6 linked regions of the Kluyveromyces lactis genome follow. The main gene of each other region encodes a partner of the protein of the gene in region 5 in a complex. Links are inferred from orthologs where the notes say so. Each region holds a gene or a part of one and is shown on either strand. Other genes may lie near its edges. The genes, in order: YNG2, PDP3, EAF1, EPL1, EAF6 and SAS3.

Evidence for each region.
Region 1: the proteins of EAF6 (region 5) and YNG2 are in contact, whole or in part, in a crystal structure (PDB 5J9T), measured with the Saccharomyces cerevisiae proteins. The link is inferred for Kluyveromyces lactis from reciprocal best matches to the Saccharomyces cerevisiae genes EAF6 and YNG2. Residues at the interface, in NP_012615.3 of Saccharomyces cerevisiae: Ile69, Ile70, Gly72, Phe73, Asp74, Asp92, Ile94, Phe95, Leu97, Ser98, Ser99, Ala100, Thr101, Lys104; in NP_011958.1 of Saccharomyces cerevisiae: Ile11, Val14, Leu17, Pro18, Phe21, Arg22, Leu25, Ile28, Gly29, Asp32, Leu33, Ile36, Lys40.
Region 2: EAF6 (region 5) and PDP3 share a complex: the UniProt entries of both Saccharomyces cerevisiae proteins name them as parts of the nuA3 histone acetyltransferase (HAT) complex. The link is inferred for Kluyveromyces lactis from reciprocal best matches to the Saccharomyces cerevisiae genes EAF6 and PDP3.
Region 3: EAF6 (region 5) and EAF1 share a complex: the UniProt entries of both Saccharomyces cerevisiae proteins name them as parts of the nuA4 histone acetyltransferase complex. The link is inferred for Kluyveromyces lactis from reciprocal best matches to the Saccharomyces cerevisiae genes EAF6 and EAF1.
Region 4: the proteins of EAF6 (region 5) and EPL1 are in contact, whole or in part, in a crystal structure (PDB 5J9U), measured with the Saccharomyces cerevisiae proteins. The link is inferred for Kluyveromyces lactis from reciprocal best matches to the Saccharomyces cerevisiae genes EAF6 and EPL1. Residues at the interface, in NP_012615.3 of Saccharomyces cerevisiae: Glu4, Leu5, Ser7, Tyr8, Leu11, Lys12, Glu14, Leu15, Lys16, Ser18, Leu19, Asp21, Arg22, Arg23, Gln25, Glu26, Thr28, Phe29, Asp30, Leu32, Gln33, Glu35, Ile36, Lys39, Glu40, Tyr43, Phe44, Tyr65, Gly67, Asn68; in NP_116629.1 of Saccharomyces cerevisiae: Arg333, Ala336, Leu337, Glu340, Leu341, Asn343, Ala344, Asp346, Leu347, Ala348, Leu350, Val351, Lys353, Arg354, Val357, Ser358, Asn360, Trp361, Asp364, Glu365, Lys367, Ile368, Gln371, Arg372, Lys374, Ile375, Leu378, Lys379, Ser381, Leu382.
Region 6: EAF6 (region 5) and SAS3 share a complex: the UniProt entries of both Saccharomyces cerevisiae proteins name them as parts of the nuA3 histone acetyltransferase (HAT) complex. The link is inferred for Kluyveromyces lactis from reciprocal best matches to the Saccharomyces cerevisiae genes EAF6 and SAS3.

What each region holds. Positions count from the first base shown.
Region 1 is NC_006037.1:629,538-633,021, reverse strand, and holds YNG2 (histone acetyltransferase YNG2), read left to right. Parts: upstream 1-1,562; coding exon 1,563-2,450; downstream 2,451-3,484. Other genes in the region: rRNA-processing protein FCF1, read left to right, coding at 1-499; KLLA0_A06996g (DUF4112 domain-containing protein), read right to left, coding at 612-1,223; KLLA0_A06952g (uncharacterized protein), read left to right, coding at 2,699-3,484. UniProt on the Saccharomyces cerevisiae protein: Component of the NuA4 histone acetyltransferase complex which is involved in transcriptional activation of selected genes principally by acetylation of nucleosomal histone H4 and H2A. The NuA4 complex is also involved in DNA repair.
Region 2 is NC_006038.1:945,839-949,113, forward strand, and holds PDP3 (Pdp3p), read left to right. Parts: upstream 1-1,276; coding exon 1,277-2,290; downstream 2,291-3,275. Other genes in the region: BSP1 (Bsp1p), read left to right, coding at 1-596; KLLA0_B10824g (pyridoxal 5'-phosphate synthase), read left to right, coding at 2,755-3,275. UniProt on the Saccharomyces cerevisiae protein: Histone-binding component of the NuA3b histone acetyltransferase complex. Targets the NuA3b HAT complex via histone H3K36me3 to the coding regions of actively transcribed genes to coordinate transcription elongation.
Region 3 is NC_006041.1:1,912,876-1,917,509, forward strand, and holds EAF1 (Eaf1p), read left to right. Parts: upstream 1-1,373; coding exon 1,374-4,391; downstream 4,392-4,634. Other genes in the region: protein-transporting protein BCP1, read left to right, coding at 56-874; KLLA0_E21473g (uncharacterized protein), read right to left, coding at 4,507-4,634. UniProt on the Saccharomyces cerevisiae protein: Component of the NuA4 histone acetyltransferase complex which is involved in transcriptional activation of selected genes principally by acetylation of nucleosomal histone H4 and H2A. The NuA4 complex is also involved in DNA repair.
Region 4 is NC_006042.1:2,337,215-2,341,758, forward strand, and holds EPL1 (Epl1p), read right to left. Parts: upstream 3,418-4,544; coding exon 997-3,417; downstream 1-996. Other genes in the region: BST1 (Bst1p), read right to left, coding at 1-667; BUD27 (prefoldin-like protein), read left to right, coding at 4,172-4,544.
Region 5 is NC_006041.1:567,188-570,067, reverse strand, and holds EAF6 (Eaf6p), read right to left. Parts: upstream 993-2,880; coding exon 645-992; downstream 1-644. Other genes in the region: ARP7 (Arp7p), read left to right, coding at 1,443-2,759. UniProt on the Saccharomyces cerevisiae protein: Component of the NuA4 histone acetyltransferase complex which is involved in transcriptional activation of selected genes principally by acetylation of nucleosomal histone H4 and H2A. The NuA4 complex is also involved in DNA repair.
Region 6 is NC_006041.1:1,770,211-1,774,653, forward strand, and holds SAS3 (histone acetyltransferase), read left to right. Parts: upstream 1-1,567; coding exon 1,568-3,766; downstream 3,767-4,443. Other genes in the region: KLLA0_E19889g (NAD(P)-dependent alcohol dehydrogenase), read left to right, coding at 1-951; KLLA0_E19933g (SANT/Myb-like DNA-binding domain-containing protein), read right to left, coding at 4,324-4,443. UniProt on the Saccharomyces cerevisiae protein: Catalytic component of the NuA3 histone acetyltransferase complex, that acetylates H3K14. The NuA3 HAT complex has 2 functionally distinct forms.

The sequences.
Region 1 (3,484 bases), on a different chromosome or scaffold from region 5:
ACTCAAATCGAACCAGGCAAAAGAGGTTAAGAAAGATGATCCTGAGTTGACTAAAAACATTCCACAAGTATCCAGTGCATTGTTCTTCCAATATAATGAAGCTATCAAGCCTCCATATCAGGTACTCATCGATACAAATTTCATCAATTTCTCTATTCAAAAGAAGATTGACATAGTGAAAGGTATGATGGATTGTCTTTTGGCCAAGTGTAACATATTGATAACAGACTGTGTGATGGCTGAATTAGAGAAGTTGGGTCCCAAGTATCGTATAGCGTTGAAGCTAGCTCGTGATCCGCGAATCAAGAGGCTAAGTTGTTCGCATAAGGGTACTTATGCGGATGACTGTATTGTTCATAGAGTGTTGCAGCACAAGTGTTACATTGTTGCCACGAACGATGCTGGTTTAAAGCAGAGAGTGAGGAAAGTGCCGGGGATCCCATTGATGAGTGTTGGAGGACACTCCTATGTGATTGAGAAGCTACCGGGTGTGTTCTAGGATAATATAAAACTGGGATTTAGCATTATACATAGCGGTATGAGTATGTATATATATATATAACTTTTCTTAACAGGATAATAATTGTACATTAGCACAAACGGCTTCTCGCTTATGTCTGTTTCAAGCCTTTTACCAAGTCTGGGTCCCTTCCTGGGGAGACAGAACCTAATTCTACAGGAGATGCGGCAATGGTTTCACCACCGTATTTCTTTCTCAAGTATTGTTCCAATGCAAGTGTGTTCCTGGAATTTGCCTTATAAGCAATCCCAACGATATCACCAACAATGGGAATCAACCCTAATAGGAAATCGATACAGATGTTCCCCAAGAGCTCTGCCTGCAAGGGCACAGGCAAACCACCTTGAATCTTCTGTGCTTCATGGAACACTGTCCATGACAAGTACAAACATATTAGGTCACCGACCACTGGCAAAAGTCCAATGATACCGAGCCATCCAACTCTCATCCCAAATATCTTAAACATCATATCAAGCCTGTAAGCTCTTTTCCTAACCCGTTGCAACACTGTTCTGTCATTTAATGGGACATAATCTGGAATTGCTTTCTTTAGCTTCTTATGCACAACTTGGCTATTTCCAGTCCAAAACGACTTCTTCACAAAAGTAACTTCCTCATAGTACGGATCCTCACCCTCACCAATCTTAATGTCGCCAAATATCTTGTTGGAAATCTTGCGTAGAATAAATGAATAGAACACCATGGTTTAGATTCAAGGTAAAGTTAACAAAAGAAACTGTCGTCGCCTATAATCGTGGTAAATTCGGTCTTTAACAGAGTTCAAATAAGCTCATATGCCAGGACTAGCTTTTCTGAATAATAAATACTCCCAAAAACTAATGGAAACATGTTTGTGAAGTACCAAACCATGTCCCTTTATCATGACTTTTTCTATTTCAAAGCCTTTAAAGCCAGGGAAAGCTTTAAAGCAATCTGGCAAACAATTTTCCATTGAAATAGCAAAGATACGTATGTAAGAGAAGAAGCTGTACAAAGAACGCTAGGCAGGCGCAGTTAGCATTTTGGAAGGCTGTATGGAAGAATGAGTAGCATTAACGAACGACCACAGGACCCTTCGAGTGCGTTGGAGCAAGCTACACAGGATGTTGCGAACTTGAAATCAGAGTTCCATCATATCATGGATGAAATGCAGGTAGCAGATAAAACCCTGGTGAGCTCAAGAGAGCAGTACCTACGGGAGGATTACGTGCTTCATAAACTTGTGAAACAGCATGGTTCGTTGACCAAGGACCCTAAAGAGGGATCCATTACTGAGACGGTAGAAAAAGAGATGAAGCGATGCGGCGATTTGCAACAACAGAAATGCATATTAGCCAATACAGCATTGTATCTAGTAACGAAACATTTGAGCAAGATCAAGGCCAACATCGAGTCACTTGAGGAAGATGGGTTACTTGCACCCTTGGATGATGAGCTTTCGGATAAGAAGGCTGGATCTGTTGATTTAGGAGCTGGAATCGCTGGCCTTGGTAACGGAACGGCTGGATCAGGTTCCAGTTCTGGTAGGAAACGGCCAGCCTCTTCATCATCAGCGAACGGGAAAGGACAGAAGAGAAAACAGCAGAAGAAAGAGAGATCTAGGTCTCATCAGCGTGCAGGAACAGTGTCTCGTGACGTGAGTCCTAACGCTGGTATCGGTAGAGATCCGACTTTCGATGCTTTGGCATATAACGATGATTTGTTCAAGATGAACCAAGGCGGCGAAGAAGACGACAAGCAGTTGTACTGTTTCTGCCAAAGAGTATCATACGGTGAGATGGTGGCGTGCGATGGTCCAAACTGTAAATACGAATGGTTCCATTACAGTTGTGTCAACTTAACGGAACCTCCAAAGGGTCAGTGGTATTGTCCAGAATGTCGACTGGAAATTGCTAATCAGAAACTAAATAAGAAGAAGAAGAAGCAATGATCAACGAAGGTTGGTATGACCCATTCATGGTCTTCACATTTCTTCACTCCTGCCGCTCGTATATATATATATATATCCTCATATGTAAATATTTTCAATTCTATCATGTAATGTATTATTATAATTAGCATTTATTCGATTCTTATTCTATATTCGACTTTGACATCTTGTGCTCTTTGTGAAGAGATGCAGAAAAACAGGCGAAAGCTATCGAAATAGTGGTCTCTGAAAGCGCACCAATAGGCAACATGGCTACACTATTTGGAAAGACGTTGTCTCAGGTTCATCCGAAGCTTCGAACAAATGGTATTGGTATTGCAACTAACCATAGACGCATTTCGCTAGGGTTCGATTTAGTGAGCAGAGACAAGAAGAATCCGTTATTACGGAAGTATTTAAGGAAACGCAGACATCGTGGGTTGAGGCGAGGGTTGCATCCAGATGAGCAAGGTAGTTATCACACTTTGGATGAGGATTTTGGAAGCAGTGTTAGAGAACCGTCTGTTTACGACGATTTAGACGAAGTTTTGGAAGATATAGATGAGTACGATGAGGACGGAGAACCCTTAAGTCGGACGGTGTCATTGCCCTCGAGGGTATCAGAACCAAGCAACGTATCACAACAAAATCTTGATTGGCTCTTAGAGGAGCACGAGAGAAGGTTCTCATCATCGCAGAACAGTGAGAACGACGAAGATGAGGACCTTGAGAATGGGACCTCAGAACAAGCGGATGTAATAGCATATGACGACTTTATGCACCGGGTCAGACAGCAATTGCAACAAGACTTCCATGATAGAGCATATGCAGGTGGTGCTGGCGGTAGTGGTGCAGGCGGTCCCAACAGGAGACGTGGGTCGCTAATATCAGTAACTAGTCGAGGTTCAGTACCGCAGGTATTTCAAGATGTGGGCAGCATGAAAGAAGAAGATTTAAGCCATGCTAAAGTAACCGCAAATAGTGAACTCAAAGTGTTGGCATCGTATTCAATCCCATTGATTTTCACTTTCTTATTGGAACAGATGTTCCCCGTG
Region 2 (3,275 bases), on a different chromosome or scaffold from region 5:
AGTCCAAATGCAACGGTAAAAAGAACGGTAAAGTTGCACCAAAGAAACCTGCAAAAAAATCTGAACTTAGAAACCCTAAAGTGAGATCATCAAGACCTTCGTTACCATCTGATGACGATGCTTACAACAGCAATGATGATGACGATGACGAATATGACGAACAAAACGAATTTTTCGCTGTAAGAAAATCGCTACGTAAGACCCACACAGCACCATCTCGTCGTGATATCACTCCAGAAGCAGTTAAAGCCAAGTCTAAACTGAACAAACCTCCTTCTTCTATCAGTTCTGTAGAAGAAATACCTGAAGCGATGGCAAAGAGGCAAGCTCTTTTGAGATCCTCAACGGAATCGGAAATTGAAAAGAAATCCTCTTCATCATTAAAGAGCCTACAAAAGCATGGCTCAAAGTTCCAAAAGCAACTGATTAAAACAATCAACAGTAGTCAGGCCTCTCTATCGGCATTGGCGTCGTCAACTGCATCATCTGCAAACTCATCATCTGACGCATTGAATGCGAAGACAAAGAAAATGCTAACAAAGGTACGTTCTAAGGGTCCAAAACGTAAGCTCCCAACAGACGTCACTAAATTGTAAATACCTCCTTATTCATATTAACTCGAACCACAAACTAGTTGCACAATCCGGCAAAAACGCATTCGTCAACTGCTAATGTGCGTTCATTGATCTTGTAAAGTTACCCTTCTAAATACGTATGCCTTTAATTCCTAATTACTTATTCCATTTTCCGACCTTAAAGCTTTTTTTTTATCCAAAACAAAACAATCAATTATTTCAAATTATATTCAATATATGCTTCTTGAGCAGTTGATATGGAATTTTGATTGCCGAAGTTCCCATTCATATTTCGTCCAAACAGTCTTTCACTGGTCAGAACACACGCAGCTATTACTGTGGTGTTGTGTGTGAGAAAAGTGATTACTGGTAGCTTAAGAGTTTTGTTTTCGTTTTCATCTCAGTTCATTTAGGGAAGGAGGTCAAGTTAATTCTGTTATACGGCCTCTTCTTTCCTTTGCTATTTGTGTTGCCAGTGCGAAGTTAGAGCGTAAGATTTTAAAGCTTCTATTCTAGCGTTTAGCATTCTTTCTGTCGAAACCGTTATTTGTGTTTACCTATTGAGTGCTCAAGAAACTGAGAAAGAGAGATATCAGAGTTTACTATTTGATCTTTACGCCCTGACATTTAGGGTTTTAGTTTCCTTTCCATTATACTTACAGATTTTACCAATCCGAATACACAATCTATTTAAGCAAAATATGACAGACGGGCTTTTAGTTACTGGTGACCTGGTTCTTTGCACCGTGGGCAGTTACGAACCATGGCCAGCTGTAGTTGTTCCTCAACGGATATTGAGTAAGAGTGTGCTGAAGGCGAAGGAGAACGTTGGTCAAGTTGCTGTGGCATTTTTTAACGATTCTACCTATTATTGGACTAAACCAAAACAGTTAAAACTTCTTACTGAGGAAAATATAGAAGCGTGGATAAAATCGCCGCCCAAAAGGTCTTCGAAAGAGTTGAAGAAAGCTTACCAGTTTGCATCCGACTATACGAGTTTGCAAGAGTTTGTCGAAGACAGGTTGACAGCGGAGGGAAGAGCGGATGATTTGGAAACTATCGCTGAAGTTAAGATGGGAGAGGACCCATTACTTTCCAATATTGAGTTAAAACTGGAAGACACTAAATCTACGGATAAAAGACGGGGCAGAAGAAGAAATGAAAGCGAATCAGAGGATTCTACCTCCAATAATAACAGTAACGGAAGTACCAAAGCTAAAAAGTCGCCCAGTAGTGGAAACAAAAATAGAGACTCACCGGTATCTACACCTGTCGCAACATCTGTTTCAGATTTCAAGAAGAAGAGGGAAAGCTCATCAGAATCTCTCTCGACATCTCCTTCATTCGTACCAGAAGAACCTCCCAAGAAACGCAGTAAGCTTGACTACTCACGTAGGGTAGAGATTGCTCAAATATTCCGTAACAAATTACAGAAGTGTTTGGTTCAACGAGATACCCCACCAACAGATGCAGATCTTGCCGAGTCTGATAAACTCATGAGGAAAATCCTATCACATACTAAATCAACACCGGAATTCTTTGATTTAGAAGCCCTTAGGGTATCCAAATTGCATAAACTATTAAAAGTCATTTCTAGTATGCCTGAATTATCACAGTTTCACGAATCTTGTAACACTATATTGGAAGTGTGGGCACCTCATGTTCAAAAGATCAAAAAGGAAAAACTGAAACTGAAGGGTTCGCTATCCCCATAGAGTGGATCACAACTGTCACTTTTAATATCTTCGATTCATAATAAGAGCACAAAAGAACCGTTCAAAAGGAAAGCACAAACAATGCATTACTGCTTTATAACAAATTCAATTCAATTCTGACATTATTCTCATGTAAAATCTATCACATTAACCTACATAATCTCATCCCTACCACCTCTCCAGTTACCTCACCGTACCTATTCCTTCTTTTCTTGGACCCTTCAATCATAATGTATCATTATTTACGTTTATCGCTCTGTTCCCCATCAATTGTTATTATTAACAAAATTGCCAAAACCTTTAAAATGACTTTAAGGTAGCAAAATTGTGCACTTCATTACAAACATCAGACATCTTTCCCATAAGCTAGCACATTAGGGAACCGATATTTTAATTATATTTCCTGTAAATTTTTATTGTTTATCAAATACGCCAAGTATTACTTCAATAACTTTCAAGTTGTTATGTCCACTACCGTTGATTTGCCAGAGCATTTAGTATCTTTGCTTAAAACATCCAAATATGTTCATTTAGCCACAGCTTCTAAAGACTGCATTCCTAATGTTTCATTGATGAACTACACATATGTGCTTCCTCATAAAGCCTTTCATGAAGAAGGCTCCAATAGTCATTATGTTATCTTTGCCACATCAAAGTCTACTCAAAAGTATAAGAATATTATTGCTAACCCATCTGTATCTCTTTTGATCCATGACTGGGTCACAGCAAAAAAACTATCTCTGAGGAAAACAAGTGTATCCAATACTCCAGTGCCAGATTCTAATGATTCTGAAGAACAACCAAGTAGGTTGCTCAACCTTTTGCAAGAGTTGAATCAATCTGAACTATCACAAATGTCAGCCACGCTATCAGGTACAGCGACAGTTATTGATCCATCATCTGAAGAATCCGACTACTATGAAAAGCAACTACTAAGAGTGAATCCAGATGCTAATTGTTATATCAAAGGTGATGACAACGTGAT
Region 3 (4,634 bases), about 1.3 Mb from region 5:
ATAGTTATTAGTTGGGCTTTATTAAACCAGCAACAACACTCTATTTTAGTCTGCAATGGTCCAGGTTGTTAAATTAAGTGCATTATCCAAGAAACGTGCAGTCGATGAGGAATCTGATCTTGACATATCAAGTACAGACTCAAATATTTCAGACCAAGAAAACGGTCAAGAGGAACAAGAAATCATCAACATCGATTTTGATTTCTTCAATGGTAATCCCGACGTTGATTTCCATGCTTTGAAGAATCTGATGCGTCAGTTGTTTGGACCACAGGAATCGAACAGAATTCAACTAAGTGAATTGGCAAATTTAATCTTGGACTCACCAACTACTACCATCAAAACCGATGGTAAGGAGTCTGACCCATACTGTTTCCTATCATTTATCGATTACAAGGCCAACAAAGATAGTGATTATGCCAAATATCTTCGTAAAGTTGACCCCAAGCTAGCTACTTTCCTACAAACTATAGATCAATCGGAGAAGACTTGTTCGTTAGTCTTGAGTGAAAGATTGATTAATATGCCACCAGAAGTTGTGCCGCCATTGTACACTATCACATTAGAAGATGTGAAGCTTGCGCTTGGGGATGATAAAAACTATGATTTCTACCTAATCGTTTCAAGGAAGTACGAAGTGAATTTTGATATGGACGAAGACGATCTAACATCGAACCAAGCTGTCCGCAAGAAGGTAAGACAAACAAACGAAGTAGACTATTTCCATGAAGAAGATCGTTTCCTTGAAAAGCTAGCCAAAGTCCATGTGGATTCCGAGGCGAGAAAGGGTCTTATTACATCGTACATGGTTTTGGACCATGCTGGACTAATTAAATCCATCGAAGATCTAGATGCGGCCATCAAGACCTGGTGAGTGATGTAAATGTTCAGTAGTTACATTGAGGAAGGTGATGATGGTATGTGGATTAATCCCGTTCTGGGAACCCAACAATTAACGCACGTGACCTGATCTTTAGTTACCCTCCTTACATGATTTCGGCCTCCCAAAAGAAAAAAAAATCTTTCAAGGAACAAAAAAATTGCTGAACAACATGAAATACGTACTTATATAGTAGAAATCGAGAAAACAAGCCGTAATACGGTAACAGAACAGGACCGTGAGAACACTATTCGACTCAGTTTCAAAAGTACCTGACACAGAAAAGCCTTGTTTGGTTGGACGATCCTGTTGTTTGTACAGAAGCGTGCTGTTTCCGAGACAAGCCCTCGCTAAAAGAAAAATCAGAGGACCCAGTTTCCTTTTTTTTTTTTTGGATATTTTCCTATCACTTGCCATTCAGACCGAAAGTTATATTTTTTCAACGTGACAGATATTCACAGAACATCTAATAGAAAGTAAGGATTTCAAGGCGATGAGCAGTGCAAGCAAAGGGAATGCTACTGGAAGTAAGAGCCCAGAGCAGCTCTTAGAGGAGAGACGGCACTTGCTAGTACAATTGTACTGTATCTCACAAATTACCGAGTTAAAAAACGTGGAGAATCATGAGAGAATAGGGAAGGAGATAGAAAAGTTTTTAGATCAACATACCTTGATCAAGGACAAGCCTATAGATATTAATGCATTGCCTAAGTTTAGGCCGAGAGACGTGTCGTCAGATAGGAAGCTGAATAACAGGAGTAAGAGTTCTTCACCGTCAGAAGTGAAACGAGAATTGAAGAAACAGCGGTCGAAAGACGTGTCGCCAAGTGGAAGCGAGGAACATGATGTGGATACGCAGACACTCCCGCAGTCTCAAACAAGGGTAGTTCCACGAGTTCAGTCACAGCAGTCAATTCAGCAAAGTTCAAGGCAATCTATGGTGCAAGCGCAGTCATCTCGACAGCTGCAGCAGCAACAACTGCAAAAGCAGCGATCGGTGTCTCCCACACAGAAGCTGCCGATAACACATAATAATGTTCCTCCTGTGGTAGTTCAGGCACATATGGAACCGAAATCTGTCCAATATCCGGAGACCCAATCAAAGCCAAGTACTTCTGGAAAGCGTTTGTTAGATGAGGAACAACAAGATATTTCCGAAAATCAAATAAGTAAAAGGCAACGGCTTGATAGTGGAAACCTATCTAATTCTACCGCTGCACGTAACGCTGCAACAATGGAAATTCCGCCTCATCCTTATTCTCAGATGATAGACATCTCACAATTGCATGCTGACCCAACACCAATTGGGGTGAAAGAACCTCAACCCTATATTATAGAATCTATTATCAACAATGTATCAAAGGAAGAGCGTAAGACGTTTTTCGAAGATGACATAAATGTGAAAGAGGCGGTATACATGATTACGAAAGAGAACGCGCCAACCAAGTTGGCAAAGGGTATGCCCATTCAAGAAATCAAATACTTATCCCAGACTTTGCCCTTGCTGAGATTGATACCACAATCTCAAAAAGCATTGACGACTGATCTGATTAATACTGCATTGAATGAAAGACGAATCACTGTAGTAGCATCAAGGATAGAGGAATTGAGAAGGCTGAATCTCTGGTCACTTAGACAACCAAGAAAATTTATCGATCCCGTTACCGCTTCACAACCTGTAACTCATCATAATGTGTTGATTGAAGAAGCAAAATGGATGCGTGAAGACTTCCGTGAATCGTTGAATTATAAGATAGCCATGTGCACTCAAATGGCACAGGCAGTTATGGAATTTTGGACTTATGGTAAAGTATGCTGTATCAATTGTAAAAGTATTCCACCGCCATCAAAGGACATAGAAGATATTGCTTCCTCCCAAGATATGGGAACAAAAATCAGTACAGTTGAGCCAGAACAAAAAGATAAAGAATCAAACACAAGTCCTGATCAATCCAACGATGATGGGTCTTCTAAAATTGCTGAAGATGTGGAGATGTCAGAGGATGGTGTAAAATCAAGTACCGGTTTAACTGATGGGAGTGAAGCGGTGGAAGAGAAGTCTGAAAATGGTATCAAAGAGGGGGACAAGGAAACTGATAAAAACTCATCTGAAGAGCCTACCATAGACATACAAAAGTTACTAAAGAGAGTTAACCCCAAAGATGAAATCGTCGCTCCATCTCTTCCGGTTACCTCCATGGAAGTTTATTTAGCTAAGAAATCATCCTCTCCCTTCAGGAATTACATTGATATAAAGGAATTATCAACACTGGGAGCAGCCATTTCAAACTCACTCCCTTTGTATGGTCTTTTGGACGAAAAGAATCTCGATTCTAGCAGACCATTGCCCTTTGAACCGGTTTCAAAGGCAATTTCTCCTCTTGACGAGGACCATTTCATGAAATTAGTAGAAAAGCAATTTGTTGACGAAGAACCATCTCTAGTTCCTTTATCAAAACGACGTGGTATGTTTTATGGAAATAGACGTAGCCATTATCTTCGCCCTCCTAATGCGCCATCATTACGCTATTTGAAATTTCGTACACCCACCATCTGGTTACCTGAAGATGATCAGGAGCTTGTCAAAAATATAAACCAGTATGCCTATAACTGGGACCTCATTAGTTCTCAGATGTCCAATCATCACAAAAGAGAATATGTTTCAAACATCGAACGTAGAACCCCTTGGCAATGCTTTGAGCGGTTCGTTCAACTAAACGAAAAGTTCAACATTGCAGATATGAAGGGTCCAAAGGCTCATAATGCACAAATATGGTTGTACGAAGCTCATAAATTACAGCAGCAGCAAAAAAGGAGAATATCTCCCCTTGGTGTGGGATCGGAATCCATACAACGAGGACATAGGCGTTTACGCTGGGCAAGTATGTTTGAGGCAATGAGAAAGTGCATTAAAAAAAGAGAAAACGCACCCAGACCAAATCCTTCGCAGCCGCGTAAACCTTTTGATGTTAAGAATATGAGTGTTCCAACCCCTCAAGAAATGTCAGACTTAAAAGCTCAGCGTGATGAGGCCTTGAGAAGGGATATGCAAATAAAACGTGCTGCCAAACAAAGGATGCAGATGGCTCAATTGCAGCAAGGAAAGCTTCCTCTCACTACAGCATCAAGTCCGAATTTGCCTATGGCAAATAATCCTAACTCAAAGGATTCAAGAATTAGGTCTAAGCAGTCCACTCCCCAGAGTGCACCACCACTAGGTGAAAAAGAAAAGGTTACAACTCAAACTCCCACACAGAGAAATACGAAACCGGCTAATAAACGTGAAATCATTGAAGGATATGCCAAAAAAATACTTTTTCAGAAACCCAATTTCACTCCAGAACTTGCTCTAATGGCTGCTGAAAATATTTACAGGAGCTTGCCATTGTCTGATCAACAAAGGAAAACTGTAATTTATGACAATGTTGCACAACCGAAAGTGCGTCCACCAGAGATGAAACATTCTTCTCCGACGCCTCAAGAGATTTTGCAACGTGCTCAGAAAAAGTGAATACAATTAATAATATATAATCAGTTCATAATCACAACATTGATTCAAGCAAAGAATTACGAATAATGAGTCCTTTTGTTATAATCATTATTTCAATATATATATGTATGTAAATTCAAACATTTGGGAAAGTGTAAACAGCAGATTCCTCCTTTGGTACGCCGTTGGCTTTGTAGGATACTTTCCATTTCACTCTGAGTGGCTTTGGGGCATTCTTCACTGCGTTATCAATCCAACTTTTTT
Region 4 (4,544 bases), on a different chromosome or scaffold from region 5:
GTAGTGTAAGCATTAATCTTGCCACTATTCCTCCCATGGAATGCCCCAATAAAATGACAGATTTAGGTAGTGGGCGGTTGGATTCCTTATAGGCAGCGCTTTGAGCATACATTGACAAGATATATCGTACTGCATCGTTCAAGTATACAGCCTGATCCAGCATTGTTTGCCCATGAAAGGCAGTGAAATCCTCATTGAAATCGGCTGTGAAATAATCCATGTTCTTTGCATTGGAATTTTGAATAGTTGATTTATGGTCAAAGTATAAATTGGCACTTGCCGCAGCTATAGATCTAGCTTGTTTGAAACTTCCTGCATTGCCGGGAATAAAAAGGACAGGTATACCATCAAGCTGTATTTCATCACCATGTTTCGGCTCTTTATCTTTACCTTGTTCTCTGTATAGGTAGAGGTGGTATTTTTTGGCGAGTTTAGTGTGTCTTGAATCAAATCCATCAATTCTGGCGTACGAAGGGTACATATAGATTGATCTGCATTTAGGTGTATCTGATCCGCTGAAATTATGAGATATATGAGTGGAGGTAATAATGCATAGCAGAAGCAAGCCCACTATGATTACAAGCGTGCTTCTTTTCCTTAGTTTCTTCGTCAATGTAGGATACCTGATGCGAACAGCAGACTCAGCCGGTAAGTCAATTTGGACCATTTTAACAACTGGCTTGGTAAACCACTACCAGTATCCTAGGTATTATTCTAAATTTAGTGTTCCTAGTGAATGCACTATTCTGGGCATAGTTCATCAATCAATGCTTGCAATGGTACATAATGTTAGATGCAAGATGCCGATTTTAGATGCGTAAACCAAAAAAAAAAGAAGCTGAAGTCAGTTCAGTCACGTGATGTATAATGCAGCTCACGATGCTTAATAACATGAATTATCTATATTGTTACAGATTCGCATAAGAATGCGGAAAATACTAATTACAAGTTCATATTTATAATGGGATTTGGTGTCATCAAAAGTTTACAATTTCGTTATGCAGCAGCGTTAGGAGTAACGTGTTTCTTTGGCGGACTGGACTGATTTGGAGTTGATCCTGGATTCTTCCTAGTGTCCTGATGAGATGGTGGGGAAGAGGACTGTGAATGAGGAGCATTGTTAATGGGCTGTTGACCCTTTTGTAGCATTTGCTGTTGTTGCAGGGAATTCAGTTTCTTTCTTTTGTTGATTTGTTCCTGTCTATATTTGATGGTGGCATCTCTTAGTTGCTCGTATGCTTTGGATCCTAACATGGTTCCAAATCTTACCACCTGAGTATCGTTTGAAATTTGGTTCAACTTCGCCGGTTCGTCGGAAAACTTGGACCCGTAAATGTTGTAATTGGAATCATATTTCCAGTGATAATATGACCTGGATAAATCATCCAGTTTAGAATCATACACATTTATAACATCATTATCGAGTTCTTGCTTCTGTATTCCATCCAAATCAATAAATTGTAATAACATGTCGTTAATATTGTGATCAGTTTTTCTTTGGTCAATATATTCCATATTGAAACGACCGCGACGGCGTCTGAAAGCGATTGGAAATTCACGAGAATGAGTATGAATCTCGTTATCAAATGGATTGAAAAATTCTAACTTTTTATACTCATTGTTCTCCACAGCTTCACCTTCCTTGTTAAAAACCTTTATATCATTCGCAGTGCCAGTGATATAATTTTGAAGATTAGGTGAATAGTAGGATGTTTTTACTTCGAACTTTGAGCCAGCAACAGAAGAAAATGGAGCATCTTGGGGGCTGACGTTATCTGGTATTGAAAGGTTGAAAACAGGATTGTAAGGATCATCAGTGAGGTTGAAAAAGATGTCACCATCTTCCTGTTTCCTTTTTCTCATCCTGTCTTCAACAAATTTCCTTGTGCTTTTTTCCTTTGAATGCAACAATTTACCGACATCTTCTAACACGATATCAGGTATCTTAGAGTTAGGCAATTTAACATATACTTGAGAAGATGCCTGTTTTTGCTGTTGTTGTACATTCGAGACATTGGCAACAGGCGACTGAGCTCCAATTTCCTGCGCAGATGACAGTGATTGTTCTTTGTTTTTATTTGAACCAGTTTTTGGGCCTTTCTTCTTTGGCTCGCTTCCTTTCTCATCAGCATATAGACCACTGTCTTCTTTGTGAAGTTTCGACGATTTTGAAGATTTTGCACGTTTAACAGATGAATCTGAAGTAATGGCTGCCTGCTGCTGTTGTAGTTGCTGTTGTTGCTGCTGTTGTATCTGTAGCTGTTTTTGAAGAAGAAGTTGTTGTTGTTGTTTGATTGTACGCACCGAACTCACGAGTTTTTGTTTCTTTGCCGAGTACAAATCCTCGTTATCGGCATCTATGCCTAACTTTCTCTTCATTGTCTTCAATTGGGCTCGCGCTTGGAAGACGAACTTTTCGTTTTCTAGGACTTCTAATACTGCTCTTTCTCTTTTGGCTACAGTGAGTGCCAAATCTTTAGTATATTCCAATTGTTGGCATAGAAGTCGCAATTTTTGTGAGTTCTGAACATCTATCCGCCTTGTTTTCCTAGGTTGTCGAAGCTCTCTCCTACGGAAACACACATATGGATCATTATCGTCTTTATCATTATTACGCTCCGATTTCAATTGTGGGAAGATATCGCAACCATGACGTGATATCTTGCGTTGCTTCCAATGATCGTGTATTTTCTCTCCGAACAATTCGATAAGAGTCTCCATATTTTTTTCCCTTTTACCTAGAGGTCTTTTATTGTCAAACATTGTCAAGAATGGTTCATCTTCAGGCATCCCAATTTCCTTCGCGAGTTCCTTTTTTACGCCAGAATCACCAACATCGTTTTTCAACATGGTTGGTTTTAGGTCTGCAAATGAAAGTATACTCTCGGGATCCATGGACAGGAAGGGTTGCCTATCTTTGATGGAAGACTCAAAGTTGGCCATAATTAATTCAAACTCATCTTCCGTTAGAGGTTCGACCGAATCCGCCAGGGATTTATTTAAATCTGCCAAAAAGATTTCGTCTTCTTCATCCATATTATACAAAGTACCACAGCAATCTTCTAATTGTGCAGAAAACTGGATATAACTCGTAGGACATTTGAATTCACCTTGGTAAAATCTGTCAAACTCGTCCCAAGTTTTCGAGGCGTCTGGTGTTGGAATAAATAGATCCTTCTTGTTCTCTCGAAGCTGATTGGATTGAAGAATTTTGTATAAATGCTCTTCCTTTTCTTCATTCTTCTCCACACCAGTTTCAATCTCCATCAGCTCTCGCTGTTGATGCTGGGAACTGATGGCCGAAACATCTTCTTGTTCCAAATCCTTAATTTCATGGCTCTTATAGATCCGAAGTCGTTGCTTCACGCTGATCTTTCTGTGCCTGAACCTCGATGAATCCACTGCAGGAGCTGGCATACTGCAATGTGTCAATGCCCGTGTGTAGTTACCCTGATAGCTATGCGGCTGAAGCCAAAGAAGGATCTTTGAATTCCAGATTTCAATAGCGAGAAATATGAAAGGAAGGGTAACTACAATTATCCCTCTAAAAAATTGGTTCTTTTACGGGGGCCCAAATTTATTTTCTTCCTGTTTTCGGGGCCAAATTTTGCGAAAAACTTCACTGGCAAGCAATCGGGTGGCGGTGAAGGAGGCAGAAAACAAGGAGACCAAATCTAAAATAGGACTGAAGATAGCAGCTATTGGTACGGATTTTGCAGAACTGATGAAAGTCCTTAAGTATCACTACTGATGGTTGATTCTCAGTAGGTTTGAACGAGCCACCGGACTGTTCTGAAGCGCGTGGTTTTCCTTTTTATGTTGGTTGTTTGGGTGGAACGCAACAGTTTGTCCGGTGAATGGGGGTATTGGTTTTTTCTATATTGAAATCCGAACTTATGGAAAGAAAAAAAAATTTTTTACGTCTTCTACGGAAATATGAACGTCTCCCATAACCACCTTGGTAGACAATAGGAATTTCTGTTCACGTGACTTCCATTGGGTCAAGGTAAATGGTGATGCCAAAAATTGTATGAGCTTCTACCAAAAAGAAAAAAAAACGGAAATCAGTAACTTGACATCCGTAATGAAGTCATCTCATCGCTTGTTGAAAGAGTGAGTTATCTGAGGCAGGTAAAGAGGCTGAGAAAATCAGTCTTAGTCGTGAAACGCAATGGAAACAGCAGAAGGTGGGGCTTCTTTTGCCGAGTTAATGGATACTGTCAAAGGTACCATAGATAATTTGGTAAACAAAAGAACCTTCTTAAAGGAACAGCAGCCGTTGTATGAACAGATATTCGATAGGATAAGAGATGCTGACACGAGCGAAGATTCGGAAGAAGAATGGCAGTATGGTGAGGTAGTATTTCAGAATGGTAAGTTTTTCCAAAATATAGGTTACGATTACTATTTGGAGAAATCTAGGGAAGAATGCCTGGTTTTTATAAAGGTTCGATTGAACTTAATTGCCGAAGCCATTTCACAATTTGATGAGAAACTGAAAGAGGCACATGGCACATTGCGAAACATGGAGTTACTTCGAGACG
Region 5 (2,880 bases):
ATTGGGTACCTTTTCAAACGCTCCTAATCGACAGCAATTCACGATTCTGTCTTTGTTCTCATTGGTTTGTTTGAATGTGTAATTGCTGCTCTATCTTTTGTTATAATAATATCTAATTCTTTGAAGCTGAAAATTTCAAGGTTTTGGCAGTTTCTGAAAATTGATTGGCTGAGTGATACTCCAATTAACAATCAAGAATGGAGGTTAGAATTCATGCTAACCACACATACATACACCATTACATAGCACCTGAGTCTCATCTAAGACATTGGGACAATTCGGTTGGACTGGAAATCTGTAAACGATTCAATCCTTTGCTTCTACGAGTAGTTTGACGCAAGTTTTATTGATTAAACTGATTCTATGATCGTTGATCTGACGGATGAAAAGAAAAAGAGGCCTCTCAAAAATTAAGGGTAAGTAATTGAAAATACTTTAGGAAGAGAGAATACATAATGTTACAAAGTGATTAATTATCACGAGCATTTAAAGAGTGCTTCAAGAGAAATAGATGCGGGGTAAAATAATACCGTTTTTCTTCCCCCTCCCTTAGTTTCTCTTGTCTCTTGTCTCTTGTCTCTTGTGTCCGGTGTCCTGGACCTGGATATGTCTCAGTGAAGAGGGCAAACAGATAAGCTTCCTGTTCAATCATTGGACTTCGTTTGTTCTTGATGATTGGAAGCAGCCAATTGTTTTGCAAAAAGGTACGAACTTAATGAAAAAATGCGATCATTATCGTCCAATGGCTGGGCATTTGACGAATGTGAGTGGTCAGACAATATCTGCTGCGCAGAACTGCTCTTGTTGAAACCCTGAAACCCGAGCAGAATGTTCCCCATTCTGGAAGATGGTTTCTGTGATAGATACTCTGTTTCTTTATCGTATACCTCTTGCTCTAAACTATTCCACTTGGCTTCGAGTTGTTTCTTCTGTACTAAAGCATCTCGAAGCTTCTTCTTTAGTTTCTCGTATTCTTTCTTTTGTTCGTCCATAGTTGTGTGAGATGAGTGTTAGGTTATGTTAAATCACTTTACCGATAGAGTAGAACACAATCAAAACCAGATTCAAATCCGTTCGATAGCGGATCGTCTGTTTCATCCTTTCTTGTTATTATATATGCAAATTGGATGTTGAAGTAGTGCGTTCTTTCAAACAATATTAACATTGGCGACGAGTCCGGGTAACAGTACTGGAACTCAGTTTGGAATTTGAAATTCGAAGAACCGACGAAAAAAAAGCCAACATGTAAACATCAACATAAACAGTGTTATCAACTCTAGTATCCCGTTTAAGAGCCATAATTTTCCATTGATAGCAGTTATAATCGGCAAAAACAGGTAGCTGTTGAAGAAGTTAATCCTTATCTGCTTTTGAAAATTGAAGATCTTCTCTTTGTTCTGGTGCATATAGAGTGATTACGTTATATCTATTGCAAGTTCAAGATGCCGACCATGAAGAGTGTGGTGATACAGATCTCGCAGACTAGGGTTATTTGTGGGTTCAGCAACCAAGATTTGCCGCAGTTAATTGTACCATCTCAATATTTGGCCTATAAAAGAGATGGATCGGATGTTAAAGTTTTCGGTAAATGGGAAATGATAGAGCATTGCGACGATGAGAGCGCTGAAATATACCAATTGTACGATAAGAACGGACTTCCAAATGATTGGGATATGATGGATGCTCAATGGCAGTACATCTTTCAAAGCCTAGGCATACAGTTCGAAGACTATCCAGTATGTGTTGTCTTACCTTCCGACTTAAACAGTGCGCGTCGTAAGAGATTTATGGAACAACTGTTGGGGTACGGTTTTCCAATGGTCCAACTTTTGAATGAGGCTGTCTGCAACACGTTGAGTCAGGGAAGATCGAGTGGAATTGTGGTGGACATTGGCCACAGTGGAGTGAAAGTGGACGTTGTCATTGATGGTGTTCTTTTCAAACAATACCGCAAGGAGAACAAGATCGGTGGTGCATTCTTAAACTGGCAGATCTGCGATCAATATTTGAAGCAGGATTCGGGCAAATCAACGAAAATCTGGAGGGATGCCACTGAATGGCTACCCAACTTCAAGAATAGCATGCTGCAAGTTTCTCCGATTGAATTGGATGCTAATTATGACGTGGCTCCTCATTACCAACATATGGTGTCACCAATGGACTTGACCAAAAATTTCCTACTCGATAAGAAAACTCTCACCTTCACTAACAAACAGCTATACACCATTGGAGAACTCTTGTTCAAGCCAGTGATACACGTAAGTAACAATGCAAACGGAGATGTAGAAATGGCAGATGTCAATGACATAGAGAAAAAGCCACATCCGGAGAAATTAATTGGGGTCATTGGATTGATCAGAGCATGCATCCAAAGTTTATTAAATGGTGTCAATGCAATGTCCACCGCAGGCAGTAACACTACAGGGTCCTCCACTACGACGGGTAATGCTTCCTCGGGCAACCAAAGCAACAACAACGAGGATACGAACATCCCAACGCACAGCTACACTTCTGAACAACTACAAAGTCTACTGCTTACGAACATTCTAGTGACAGGAAGTACCTCGAACATTCAGGGTTTAGAGCAAAGAATATTGAATGACGTTTCAGTCTCCCTAAACGATCTAACCACAGTGAGGCCTAAGATCCTTTTCAAACAGACCAAATTAGACAGAAACTTCCAATCATGGCAATCTGCAACAACCTTATGCAGACTACCGTTGCGCGAATCGTTACATGCGTGGGAATCTATCGAATGAATGGCGATATCCACCTGCCCTACCTCTCACTCAACTGGCAGTATAAAAATATAATAATGTACGTACCGGATAATCTTCAAACCCAAGAAAACTTAAACCAAATAGTATTAATCCACGTGAC
Region 6 (4,443 bases), about 1.2 Mb from region 5:
GTTCACTGTGCCAAGGGTAATTGGGGTGAAATGAAGTTGCCGTTGGTTGTTGGGCATGAAATCATTGGTAAAGTGGTTAGACTTGGTGATAAGTGTGATACCGGTTTGAAGGTTGGTGACCGTGTTGGTGTTGGTGCACAAGTCAGTGCTTGTTTGGACTGTAACCGTTGTAACAATGACAACGAACAATACTGTCCAAAATTCGTTACCACTTACTCTCAACCATACTTTGAAGATGGTTATGTTGGTCAAGGTGGTTACGCATCTCACATCAGAGTCCACGAACATTTCGTGATTCCAATCCCAGAATCTTTAGAAACCAACAATGTTGCACCATTGCTATGTGGTGGTGCCACTGTGTATTCTCCATTGAAGAGAAATGGATGTGGCCCAGGTAAGAAAGTCGGTATCGTTGGTATCGGAGGTATTGGTCACATGGGTATTCTATTAGCCAAAGCCATGGGTGCCGAAGTGTACGCCATCTCTAGATCCCATGCCAAGGAGGAAACATCCAAGCAATTGGGTGCAGACCATTACATTGCCACTGAAGATGAAGGTTGGGAAACCAAGTATTTCGATACATTGGATTTCATGGTTCTATGTGGTAACTCATTGTCGGCCGTTGATTTCGGCAAGCTACCAAAGATTTTGAAAGCTCAAGGTGTTATTGCATCCATTTCTGTCCCTGATCAGCATGAAGCCATACATTTACATCCAGCGCAACTTCTAGGATTCCAGATTACTCAATCTTGTCTAGCATCTCGTGCAGAAATCATTGAAATGTTGAACTTGGTGGCTGAAAAGAAGATCAAACTATGGGTTGAAACGGTTCCAATCAGTGAGGAAAATATCTCCACAGTGTTCAAAAGAATGGAAAGCGGTGATGTTCGTTTCAGATTCACACTAACTGACTTTGATAAACAGTTTGACCAATTCAAAGCCAAGAAATAGGCGTTGAACTGTATAAATTATATAGATGGTTGACACGTTGTTCATAGCTTAAGTCACTTATATATACATACTATGACATAAACGTCAAAATGGAAACACACATAAAATACAACCTACAATTTATACACATTGCAAGGAACGGCTTTCATAAACACCAGAGGACGGTAAGGGTACAGTAAAGTGCATGAAATGCAGTCACTGTAGCCAAGGTTACCTTTCCAGTAACCGAAAATTTCTCGAAGAAGAGCAACAAGATCATGGGAAATATTTGCTAACTGAGCTGGTATGAAAGATACAAAAAAATACAGATATCACGTGACCATCAAGAAACCGAAATTTTTGATGCAGCAGTAACATGGATCTGTATTGTTTTGCTTCATTTCATAGGAGAAAGAATGATATAGGCAACCGGTTTTTGTAAATGTAAGACCTAGATTGCTTGCTGTTAGTTTCGTTTACTATAACTCGGACTTTGTGAGTTCTTGTGAGAATGTGTTTTTAGAATAGACATTCTTCTCTTCTAAAACTAGTAAAGGTACTATCCTCTCTATTTGTTTACCTTATATTGAAAGAAGAAATAATAATTCATCAAGTGGCAGTCATCGCATATTTAAGAATGACGACTTCTAAGCGAAATAGACTGCTGAAGGAACTTCTGATTGATGATAATATACATTCCAAAGTACAGGCTGATTTATGGGACGCTGGAGATGGTGGAGTACGACGGAAACGCACCAGAGATAGACATGACAAGTCGTCGGATCATATAGGCTATAACGGTGCTGATGATTCTGGGGTGCAACCGGAGAAGAATAAGGACAAGAAACTTAAAACGATTGTTATACCATCTGATTGGAATGAGATGAACAGCCATGTGCAATTTTCAGACGATCGTAGAATTATTACTATCAGGTATAATCCGTTGAAGTTGCTTGATTTCAATCAAGTGTTGAACAGAGGCAGCGATCTCGACGTAAAAGTACCGTCAATTCCGCTAAATGGCATTGACTTTGAGATATATGAAACTGAAAATTTGTTAACATCTCTTGATAACGATGCTCAGTTCCCTTATCGTGGCGCAATTGAAAATAAGCAGGATTATACAACTCATAGGACCATTCCTCGTGTCAAAGATAGAGAGTTTTTTCTAACTTTGCTGCGTAAGTCCCAAACAGCAGCTCGTTTCAATGGTAACACACTCCTGGCATTTCCAAATGATGAAGCTCATAATCAAGATAAGAAACGGTTAAAGCCAACAGCTTTGATGCATTCTGCGAAGACAACCAACGTGGAATATGTTTATTTCCAAAATTATGAGATCAAAACTTGGTATAAGGCTCCCTACCCTGAAGAGTATAACAAGAACGAAATTATCTATATTTGCGACAAGTGTTTGAAATATATGAGTTCAAAGTATGTCTATTATAGGCATCAGTTGAAATGTGATTATATCCACCCGCCAGGAAACCAAATTTATAGAGATATGGACCAAGGGTTCGCCATTTGGGAAGTAGACGGAAGAGAGAACGTTATTTATTGTCAGAATTTATGTTTACTAGCGAAACTTTTTTTAAATTCGAAAACTTTGTATTATGACGTGGAACCCTTTATGTTTTACACCATAACAGTATGGGAGGACGAAGAATGGAAATTTGTTGGATATTTTTCTAAGGAAAAGCTAAACTCAACTGGTTATAACCTAAGTTGTATTCTTACTTTACCACATTTTCAAAGGCGCGGTATCGGACATCTACTGATGGACTTTTCATATCTCTTATCAAGAAGGGAATTTAAACTAGGCACTCCCGAGAAACCTTTGAGTGATCTTGGTTTGGTATCTTATCGAATATACTGGAAAAATAAGATGGTGCAAACGCTTAATATGTTATTTGAAGAACTGGGTGATTCATTCGCTTGTACCATAGACGACTTGTCCAATCTAACCGGTATGAATCATTCGGATGTGATATTCGGCCTGGAACAGATTGGATGTCTATACAAATACAACGATGAAGCCTCAGGTAAATGCAAATATGCAGTGAAAGTAGAAGATTGGGATATCTTGTGTCAGTTATTTGAACAGTCTAGAGCGAAAATGAAATATACTTTGGACCCTTCCAGATTTGTTTGGAAGCATGTCATTTTCGGTCCTTCGTGTGGAATCAATGCCGTTGGAACCATGGTAGAAACAAATGTTAGCCAGCAAAGAATTACGTCTGCCGCTGGTTCAACAGCTGCTGATCCATTCAAACAAAGTATATCTGTTCTAACGAATTTTATGAGTGACGATTTGGCGGATCCAAGAACGATGGAAGAAGCTGCAATGGAAAAGATTAAGCAACAAACTATTCCTGTATCCTTGTCTGATAAATCTTTAGTTCGAGCATATACACTTCCAAGCAATATCAAGGAAAAAATCATTAAGGCAAGCAAAATAAAACCTGAATTCAAACAACTCAATACGAAGCTCGGGGGGACTATTCCAGCTCTCAATGAAGGTACACCTTCTGGCGATGCTTCTGATGCCAAAACACTGATCAGCGGAGGTATGCACGATGATATAAATGGCGATGAGCAAGAAATTGAGGAAGAGTTTGAAGAGGCAGACGGTTTAGAAGATGAAGGTTTCTCGCTAGATGATGCAGAAGCTGAGGAGTATTCAGATGATGATGAAGATGATGATCAAGTGCCACCGCCTCCAGAGGAAATAGCGACTCCTAGGGTCAGTAGATCTCTAAGAAAACTCAGACAGCACAATCCCGTAGAAAATGAAGTTCAGCAAAGACCACAGAGAGTCTTACGGAATAGAGTTTGAATATTAATTAAAGGATAACCTAATCATAGTAATGCGTGGCCATGACATGTGTTTATGAGAAGAAAACTGATAATAGTGTAATATCTAATATATGCATGTATATATGTATATGATTGTAAGAATAGCGAAAATTAATGCCATCATTGATATAGCAGTAAAATGTAAATAACAAAACAACGTAATAGTACGCACTTTTCATTTAAGTGTTTATGCAAAAGGAGCAGCCCGTGTCCCTTTGCTATAATAAACTGAATAGGGACATTATTATGACAAAAAATAACCATATGGTACAGTTCAAATGATTTGGCATAAAGATAACACTGTAACAGTATTATTGATGTTCTATTGTAGTTATAGTACTTGTACAATGGGGTCATAATCAGGAAAGTGTGTGCGTTTATGTGATAGTAAATCAACGACAATGATGATTGAAGTAGCAGCGACTGGCGCCACGATACACTTCGGGGTTCATGTTCATACATGTCTGAAAGTGGTTTGTAAAGTAGTTTTTTAAGTTTTTGGTTCTTGATAATGGTATTAATACAGACAGTTTATCATCAAACAATGTGCTTGAATATCGTATTCAAACTAGGCAGTGGCTGAGTTGGCACTTGCGGTAGTCGATGGTTTTGTGGTGGTTGAGGAGATTGCGATGAATTCGGAGTGAACTGGGGCGT